Schizosaccharomyces pombe: one gene and its partner. Changing the gene in region 2 together with the main gene of any one other region gives a genetic interaction. Each region holds a gene or a part of one and is shown on either strand. Other genes may lie near its edges.

Region 1 (5,018 bases), 680 kb from region 2:
GTATTGTAGATTAGCTGGGTTGTTGTAGTAAGCCATCGAATTTAATTTTTGGTGAGAAACCTGCTCTTGCTAAGTTAGGAGAGAGTAGGAGGGAAAGGTGGGTAAAATGGAAGCTCCTCCTTTTCCCCTTCAACTTTGATTAACAAGCTTTAAAATAGTAATCTTCTCTTTTTTTTTTAAGAAAAAAGCCCCAGTGTGAACAGCAGCGAGAATTTAAGACGGTAAGGGATTGGGATATTTGAAGGTATCGTTAGTCCCAATGAACTTCATGATATTATAAGATGTTCTGTTAAACTGATGTTGAAAATTATTATCAGTTCTGTTATTTTGCTCATTAATTGAAATGTACTTTCGGATATCATCTTTGCATGATATCAAAGTTACAGTCTTTTCTTAAGCTCTTTGATATTTTCATGGCCAGTTCTATTGACATAACAATGAAGATGAAACATATAAAATTTATATGAACTATTATTACAAATGTAGATTTCTGACCCTTGCTCCAAGGAAAATTGTGCATATACAGAGGAAATTAAATGTAAACATTGCTATAATACAGTATAACAGATATTTTACGAGCGACCAAAATTCGTAAGGCATAATCCAGCGGCTTTTTAAAAATTCGTGGATTCAGCTGAACTGTACTATGTAAATGACAATATTATTGCTGTTAAAATATTTGAGCTCATACTTTATACCTGTTTAAATAATACATGAACCGCTCAAAACTAACTTTGGGATATTAAGAGGTTCCAATTTATTTGATTTATTTTTTAATTGTTAACAATTGATTTTTCTACTCCTTAGTATATACCTCAGATGGTTAGTATATGAGTCACTTGAGCTATCGCAAATAATTCAATACGACTAAACAGGTATTCATTTATTGTATACATTAAGAATTACTTGAATTACAATACTAAGCTTATTTTTAGTTATTCTGACAGTAAAGGAAATTTTGAAGTTATTGGTTTTATTTAATTTGAAATTTTTTATTAACTTACGTTACTGTGGCACACAAAGGTTTCATGAAAAAGAGTATTTTTGTGTACCTAACACAAATTGATTATCAGAGTTATTTTTTTATTGTTCTCCTATTTCATTATTTAAACACATTTATGTAATTATTTACAATTAATGGCAGCAAAAATTTGCATTTCATAAATTTACTGATATAAAAAATCCAAAAAAAAAAAATACTTCTATTTATCTAAGGATCACAAGAAGCTACAAATAGAGTAAAAAAAAACTTCAAGAAAACAACAGAAGACGATTATCGCTATTACCCACGACTATTTATATCCTAATTGTAAATTATATTTTCTTTATAATATTCCATCCATCTCGCTAAAAATAAGCTTAATTTTAACGGCCAACAATATATACAAAAACTTAGTGTCTAGTTTCACTATAATAAAGAACTTACTTTTTGCTCTAGAAGAAAAGAAAAAAGAAAAATGAAATGATATGAAGATCTTTCACTCATAAATTAACTGCGGTGTGACAAAATTAGCCGTGACTGGCTCAATGAGAGAAATTTGTTCCTTCCAAAAATTATAATAAAAAAGTCCCATATGTTGTAAAAGTTAAACGAAAAATAAATCGTTTCGAAGCAAGTCTTTGTTTCCTTTGTCAGTAGTAAGCTGTAGGGATTTCAGGAGTTTACACGGAACTATTATTTCTCAGTTTTTGTCAAGCAATTGAATTCTACAGTAATCTTTGTCTTTCACTTAATAAGATATATGTAAAACTTAAATTTGTCTATGTCTGGTGCATAGTTTAGATATTTTCTTAAATCATATTTTTGTAGCAGTTCTGTCAACTCTTCATCTACCACCACGTACATATATGTATATTTTCATTAGTAGCCAATTTTTTTCGACAATATAGGTTCTAAGAAGCATATAATTTAAAATTTTGATTTTTTTCAATCCAGCTCCTCGAGAAGCTCATATTTATTCATAGTTTGACGGCTTTCTTGGTCAGTCGTATCAAAGCAAGCGCAAAGATTCCCACATTTTTGTACTTACAATAGGCTTGTCAACGTTTACTGGAGGAGATTTGTTAAAGTTAATCAATTCGATTAGATTATTGTTTGGATTCAGGTATTGATCGACTCATATTTATCTCTACATAATATTATATCCACGGTTTTACTTTTTTAAAGTCAAAGGCAGTCCCATTTAAGCCAAAAGATTCGTTCGTTTCTCAAAATTTAAAAAGAAAATATACTTAATTGAGCACTTCTGGTAAATCGTTACAATATGCGAATAAACTTTGTTTTGCTCATCACTCTTATTTTACCATGGTTTGTGTCCGGAGATTCTTCTGAAGAAGCCGTGGACGCGCCTTTGGATGTGAAGGATGACACCGGCAATAAGGATTACTATAAAGATTCTACTGGTGCCTACCACTTTGATAAATTAATTGTGACCCCGTTGGAGTACAGAGATGGAGAAAGCTGGAAACAATCTGTCATTTACTGCGACCTCATATTTGCGAAAGAAAACAAAGAAGAAAAAGGTTCTTTTGTCAAAGCGCAACTGAAAGAGGATGCCGAACATCCTTTTATTTACAGACTGCTTAAACTCCAAACACCGTTAGAAACTTATCGTGGATTTATCGATGGAAAAAATACAGAGATTCTTGATGAGATTAAATCAATAAACTTATTCGAGGATTTTCTCAGTGAGTCTCTAGTCCCCGAAATCTCTCCATCAGTTAATATACCCATTGATGAAACTGCATTGTATTGTTTTATCGGAATTCAAGAAACTGAGCCAATTCGTATTCCTTGGCCTGTTTTGACAGTCGAATTTTATGGGGATGCACCTCCTCCGGAGTCTTATTTTCGTACCATAAAATCCACCTTATTAGCGATATCGATGTTTTTAGGATTCATTACACTAACATGGTTGTTGCGTTGTATTAAAAGTCAGTCCGGGGTTCAACCTGCTCAAATTTCCCTTGCATTTTGGGTTTTTATCTTTGTGTTTACCCATTCATATCAGGTGTACTCAATGGTTGCCATCGGAAGGGGTTCCTTTTCAACATGGTACGTAGTTTCCTTTTTATTCTCACTCGTCTTTGAAGAAGGATTGGAACAATCTGCATATACATCATTTTTATTGGTATTGTGTTTTGGCTTGGGAATCACGAAGCCTGCTTTAGTGAAGTACTATGTTTACCTAGCCTTTGTAGCCTTCGTTCAAGGTTTGTTTGTCACGTTTGCACCCCTCTCCTATCCCGTGATGTCCTTTTATGGGGTTCGAGGAATCCTCCTCAAGCTAATTTGGAATATCTATACTTTTGTTTACTATGGATTGCCATTCTTTGCAGTTTACCGACTGTACAAGCAGGCTGGTGAATCAAGGAAACTTGGATTTGAGGCCAAGTACTCTCTTTTGAGGACTTGCTATATTGCATTAGCTGCTGTGACCGTAAGTAATTGCCTATTTTTGGGAGTTGTTCGTCCCTTACTTGGCAGTCAACTTTCACTTGGCTTCCAACTGATAACTTCCTGCATCACGTTTGTTGACTTCTTGGTTTTTGCTTTTCTCTTTGATTGCTCAAAATTTGTCTTCCTAAAATATCAGCCGATCCCCTTTGAATGGTATGCACTGGAATCGATGGAATCCCTTAACCTTGAACCAGCGCCCGATCGTAAAGTGTAAAAAAGCTTTTTGATAATCAGTTTTATATTAGGTCGAGAAAACGGTAGCTGTGTGCGAAAATTTAATCCTTGAAAAATGGTTACTTAATATTTTTTATTTTACTTTTGTGGTGACAGTTCTTACATTTTCTTGATTTTCTTAATTGCACATTCCCATGAGACGCCATTTCTTGATTTTAATACTTGTCTTTTTAAATTGCTTTTTTCAATTACTATATCTTTATCCAGATTTTTTACACTATATACTCTTTCATGCTATTATAACTTTACAAATACTTCCATCCTTTATATTTTTTGCTAACACAATCCCATTTTCTATACATATAAATACGATTCAGCTATATTGAATTCGTACAACTACCTCCTTGATGATTTTTGCTACATTTTTTCTACTTTATGCCTTTTTTGATGATGATTTTGAATATATTGACACTTTGCTAAATAATTAAACAAGCTTCTCTTGATATCCTGCATCCATTTCAAATAGTATCACTTGAAATGTTACATAATTTTAACCATGAGCATCAGCAAGAAGCGACAATGTTTCTAATGCACATACCATTTATCGATTTAGTAATGAGAAAAGTTAAGTTTGTTAAATAGCGATAGAACACTAAACGACAGTAAAGATAATTGCATGCACTCTGTGTTATTATGGAATACCCTATATATCAGTATACCAATCACGCAATCGGGTTGAACTGTTGAATAGTTTCTGGCATGTATTTGTTTCTCTCTACCTTTTACCAAAACGGAAGTTGGAATGGAAGTTCGTATGTATGTCTGAAAACGTAGCTGTTTCATTCCGTTTAAACTAAGACTTCCTTAAGCCAAATAAGCAGTAAATGCTCAAACATATGAAATATTCTTTAAACCCCTAAAAAAAGAAGATCTAATACGTAAACCTTGTGTTCTCTTACTACATTCAGACACGCATTTTTAAATTTGATGAAATTAATGTGTTTGTGAGCAAACTATAGTCATGTGAATGTACGGAGATGATATGGCACGATGATTGTGGACGTAGGTATCCAATATTGTGTGGGAAGTAAATTCAAAAAGGGGCGTCTAGGGGAATGATTAAACGTTTAAACCACGTACAGGAAATCGGAACACTGTATAGGATGTTAACTGTTTTGAGTATCACTAGTTCTGAAACTTGCAAGGAGAATATGTTTATTAGATGATACAGATGTCGTTCAAGATGTTAAAGCTTTAAATCTTTGCTTATGATTAGCTCTATGTCACCCCTGTATTTTGCTTGTGGTTCGTATGATTCTGTACAGCTCATCGATGAAGGGTAGTGGAGTCTTGTAGATATTGGGTACTACTGACGATAGTATCC
Region 2 (4,416 bases):
ACACAAAGAGGAGAGTTTTTCCAATCAATAGTATCATTTTGTTTACGAATGGAAGAGGATGGCGAACCGATCTTTCCCCTTTTGCCAACCCGCTTAAACCTTTTAACTTCTCTCTGTTTCTTTACCTCATCTTTTTTCTCGCTTGATTTATCTGAATTGGACAATTGGGTTTTTCGTCGAATCAGAAAATGGATCAGTACAGGCAGCAGCAAGACTATGTACAATACAGCCCGGTATTCTTCCCAATGCTCCCCGATGTACCCCAAAGAATACCCCATGGCAATGATTTACCACTGGAATTTAGCAAAGAAATAGTATCCTTGGTGGTTGGAAAAAGGATTCTTTGAGGTGTGGCATATGGAAAAGACACAGGCAAATTTCACCAATAAGCGCCAACAGAACTAAGTCCAGCTAGAGAGTACTAAAATGAAGGATGAACTTTTAAATTAATTTAAAATTTTTACTTATTTGTTTATTTTATGATTAATTTTACCTTATTAATATATAAGTGCTTTCATCTAAATGATGGAGTGCTGGCCAAAAAGGTACTTTTTGTAAAAGTCAACATTCTTGAAAATCAAACTATAAGAAAAGCAATATCTCTTAAAATACCTCATGTGTAGTAACATTTAGAAAAATTGCTAGATAGCTAGTGTTAGACGTAGTGAAAATGATACTTGGAGATGAGACACTTTCAAACGATTGAAGAAAGAATCAAGGATGAGGGCTTTGTAATGATTGTTATTTGTGAAAAGTATTCAAAAAAGATTTGGAATGTTTGATGAGAGTTCATTTTTAAAGATTTTACGACATGGGAATATATCAGTAAAACGAAGAATAAAAAGTAAATAATGCAGCTAGCATGCTGCGTCTTAAATAAAGAGCAAAAAAAAAGATATAAAGCAAAAGCGATAAATGAAGAAAGTAAGAGAAAGAAACCAATTCAACTATACCTTTGTAACATCGAAATTCTCCAAGCTTAGCACCTTTGTTATATGCTTGTCCGCAGCTTGTTCTGGAGAAAGAGAAAAAAAGGGAAGAATATTGACATCAGGAACCCACACAACTTTCATGCCTGCCGCCCGGCCTGATTGAACTCCTGTAATGGAATCTTCAAAAACCAAGCAGTTCTCTGGCAGGATTTCTGCCTGGCCTTGAGCCTTGCGCTTGTCGTTGATCATCTTCAAAGCGATGAACCAAATATCTGGGTGAGGTTTGCCTCTACCGACGGGTAATCGAGGGTCATCTCCAGTGATAATGTTTCCATCAAAATGATCAAACAAATGACTCAAATGAGCGGACTTCTTTTCAAAGTTGTGTGTGTCACTGGAAGTGGCTAGTGCTATAGGAATGTTTAGTGATTTCAACTTACTTAACAAATTCATAACGCCAGGTAAAGGCTTTGTATGCCTCCATAGTTCAGCTTGAGTTTCACGTTGTAATGCTATGTATTCTTCGCAGGTCAAATCAATACCCGACCAATCCAAAAAGATTCTGCTGGCCTCCTTTGAAGTTCGGCCTAAAGCATGAATGATTAGAAGGTTGAAAAAAACAACAACAGCTCAAAGCCACTTACCCATCATCTTAGCCTTGACTTCCATGGAGAAGGGGCCTTTGTTATAGCGCTTTAAAATGATATCTAGACGCACCGTTAGCCTAACCAATACCTTTGAACAGAAAGGGAAAAGGAAGAGTAAAACTTACTAGTGCTTTTTGTGTAGATTGACTCTGTATCGACCAACAAGCCCTGTATTCGTTAGATAGAAGGACACTTTATCGCTTTTCAAGTAGTATGCTTTAAGGAATCATCAGGCTAAGCACTTTTAAGTAGAATGAAAAACAAATAAACGATAATAAATATTGTATTTGTTGATCATGGACGCCGTAAATGATCCATATTATTTTACTATGTACGTACGTCCATATCGAAAAGACACGCCTCAGGAATCATCTTTAAAGTAAAGTAAGGGTTTTAATAAAAAGAATGTCTTTGTTTTTCTACGATGAAGAAAGATATTGTTGAAAGGATATATACTATTCGTAACAGAATGAAACCAATTTCGATCAGTATACGGACGAAAGCAGCAATGGGAATGAGATGAATATACGATAACTTATCAAATAATTCAAGTTTAGACAATCACAGTCGTCCTTAATAAATTCTGCTAGAAGTAGTCAAACGTGGAGTTGACAAGTTGCAAGACGAGCCATTGTTTAGGCAAAGGTGAGAAATAGAATATTTGTGGCATTAGGAAAGCTTTTGGACTTGCAAATAGAATTGCTTGAAAATAATGAGTGTAAAGAGAGGTAAAGTTGGCGAATTTGTTGAGTCAGGGATTGAACTTGATTCATCTAAATGATAATGTTATGGTAAGATAAAAAGAAACTAGAAAAAAATAGAAGAAAGTTTATAAAGTGCAATGACATTGAATTTACTCGACTCTCTTCCTATTACACGACAAGCTCAGTTTATGGATGTTTATTTGTCTACAAACAATTCATTCACGTGTGACTTTGAACTTGACCGGAAACATGTTACAGAAGGTGGTTTGAAAGTAAAATTGATACGGGAATGGGTGTCTTATTGAAAAACTACAAAGCTGTACTCGATGACTATGGAATGTCATCAGGTGGATATACAGATAGCTCTTTTTAAATGTCGAGTGAGATATCGGTGGTTTATTTTGAAGAAAATTACTTAAAAAGTGATTAAAGTAATAATAAGTAATGAAAGTCAAATAAAAGGCCTTACGATTATCTGCTCGTCAACTATGGGTATACAGGTGTATCTCACACTATGCTTGAAGATTTCGCTGACGATTATATAGACAATGTCCATAAACAGGTTAAAACCAAGCCTTTTTAATTACGAACTTGACCATTTCTGAAGACTGTAGATACCTTAGAAGCTAATCTCATTTGTATTACTGTAAGAGGCAATTCGAATCGACAAGAGTGTAGGTAGAAGAGTATACCTATCCAAAGAGTATCAGATGCTTTTACCAATTTAAGAGTTTTCCATGGATATGTATTCAATTTTAGGTCCAACTATTTAACACTTGTGCGAACATCGATCATGTCCGATGCAGCAACTTGCTGCTGTCATGTCGCTCAAACCAAACAAAAGAAATGTGCCAATTAACAAAATATTTCCAATACTATACTTGTAACGTTCTAGCATTAATACATACCTTAAGGCACTACTTGCAATCAGCCCAGTCATGTCAATCTCTTCAATATCTTGTTCGGGATCCCGCTTGCGACCAGCGCATTATTTTTCTTAGATTACTGACATTATATATTTCAATTTGGAACAAAAAAACAATCTGATTTCGACCATTTTTTAAAATTTTTCTTTTTCATAAATTTTTTCGACTTTTCCTATACTTTCGATGGTGAAGAATGCATTGAGCACAGTCTGCAGCTTCCATTTTTTTCTTCTGAAATTTTATAGTAAAATCGAAAGTTTTTCATCTGCTTAAGCAATCAATTAAATCTAGACAAACATTGCTAAGTTCTCCGCAAATTCAAAGAAACTTTGGCTGACGTACCTAAAATGCTTAAGTGGAAGTTTCCACGCTACACACAACTTAACCAGAACCTATATCCTTAGGAACACCAAGAAACTCAGAAAAGGTATGTTTGTAGTGTTTTTTAGGAAAAACGAAGTTATTTGTCTGGAAAAAGTATTTACTAACGAGTTTTTGAGGTAGTTTTATCAAAATGTCTTCATTGGAACAATTAAAGGCCACTGGCACTGTTGTCGTCTCCGATACTGGAGATTTTGAATCGATCGCCAAATACAAACCCCAAGATGCCACCACAAACCCTTCTCTCATCTTGGCCGCTTCTAAGAAGCCCCAATATGCTGCTCTCGTCGACGCTGCTGTTGACTATGCCAAGGCAAAGGGTGGTTCCATCAACTCTCAAATTGAGATTGCTTTTGATCGTCTTTTGATCGAATTCGGTACCAAGATCCTCGCTATCGTCCCTGGCCGTGTCTCCACCGAAGTTGATGCTCGTTACTCTTTTGACACCCAAACTACTATCGAGAAGGCTCGTCACCTCATCAAGTTGTACGAAGCCGAGGGCATTGGTCGTGAGCGTGTTCTCATCAAGATTGCCTCCACCTATGAGGGTATCCAAGCTGCTAAGCAACTCGAGGAAGAGGGCATCCACTGCAACTTGACTCTCTTGTTCTCTTTTGTCCAAGCTGTTGCTTGCGCCGAGGCTAACGTTACCTTGATTTCTCCTTTCGTCGGTCGTATTCTCGATTTCTACAAGGCTAAGAATAACCGTGACTATACCGCTCAAGAAGACCCCGGTGTCGTCAGTGTCTCTAACATCTTCAACTACTACAAAAAATTCGGTTACAAGACCATTGTCATGGGTGCTTCTTTCCGTAACGTCGGTGAG

What was found. A genetic interaction does not mean that the proteins touch.
Region 1: mutations in SPOM_SPCC1020.07 (region 2) and SPOM_SPCC61.05 together harm fitness more than expected from each alone (negative genetic interaction), as found in Schizosaccharomyces pombe (one large-scale study listed by BioGRID).

Annotation. Positions count from the first base shown.
Region 1 is NC_003421.2:1,447,342-1,452,359, forward strand, and holds SPOM_SPCC61.05 (uncharacterized protein), read left to right. Parts: upstream 1-1,832; 5' UTR 1,833-2,264; coding exon 2,265-3,674; 3' UTR 3,675-4,270; downstream 4,271-5,018. Other genes in the region: SPOM_SPCC61.04C (Rab GTPase-binding protein), read right to left, coding at 1-36.
Region 2 is NC_003421.2:769,775-774,190, forward strand, and holds SPOM_SPCC1020.07 (pseudouridine-5'-phosphatase), read right to left. Parts: upstream 2,190-4,416; 5' UTR 1,952-2,189; coding exon 1,919-1,951; exon of another isoform or gene 1,748-1,918; coding exon 1,705-1,747; exon of another isoform or gene 1,640-1,704; coding exon 1,577-1,639; intron 1,520-1,576; coding exon 948-1,519; 3' UTR 501-947; downstream 1-500. Other genes in the region: wybutosine biosynthesis protein Tyw1, read right to left, coding at 1-278; tal1 (transaldolase), read left to right, coding at 3,724-4,416.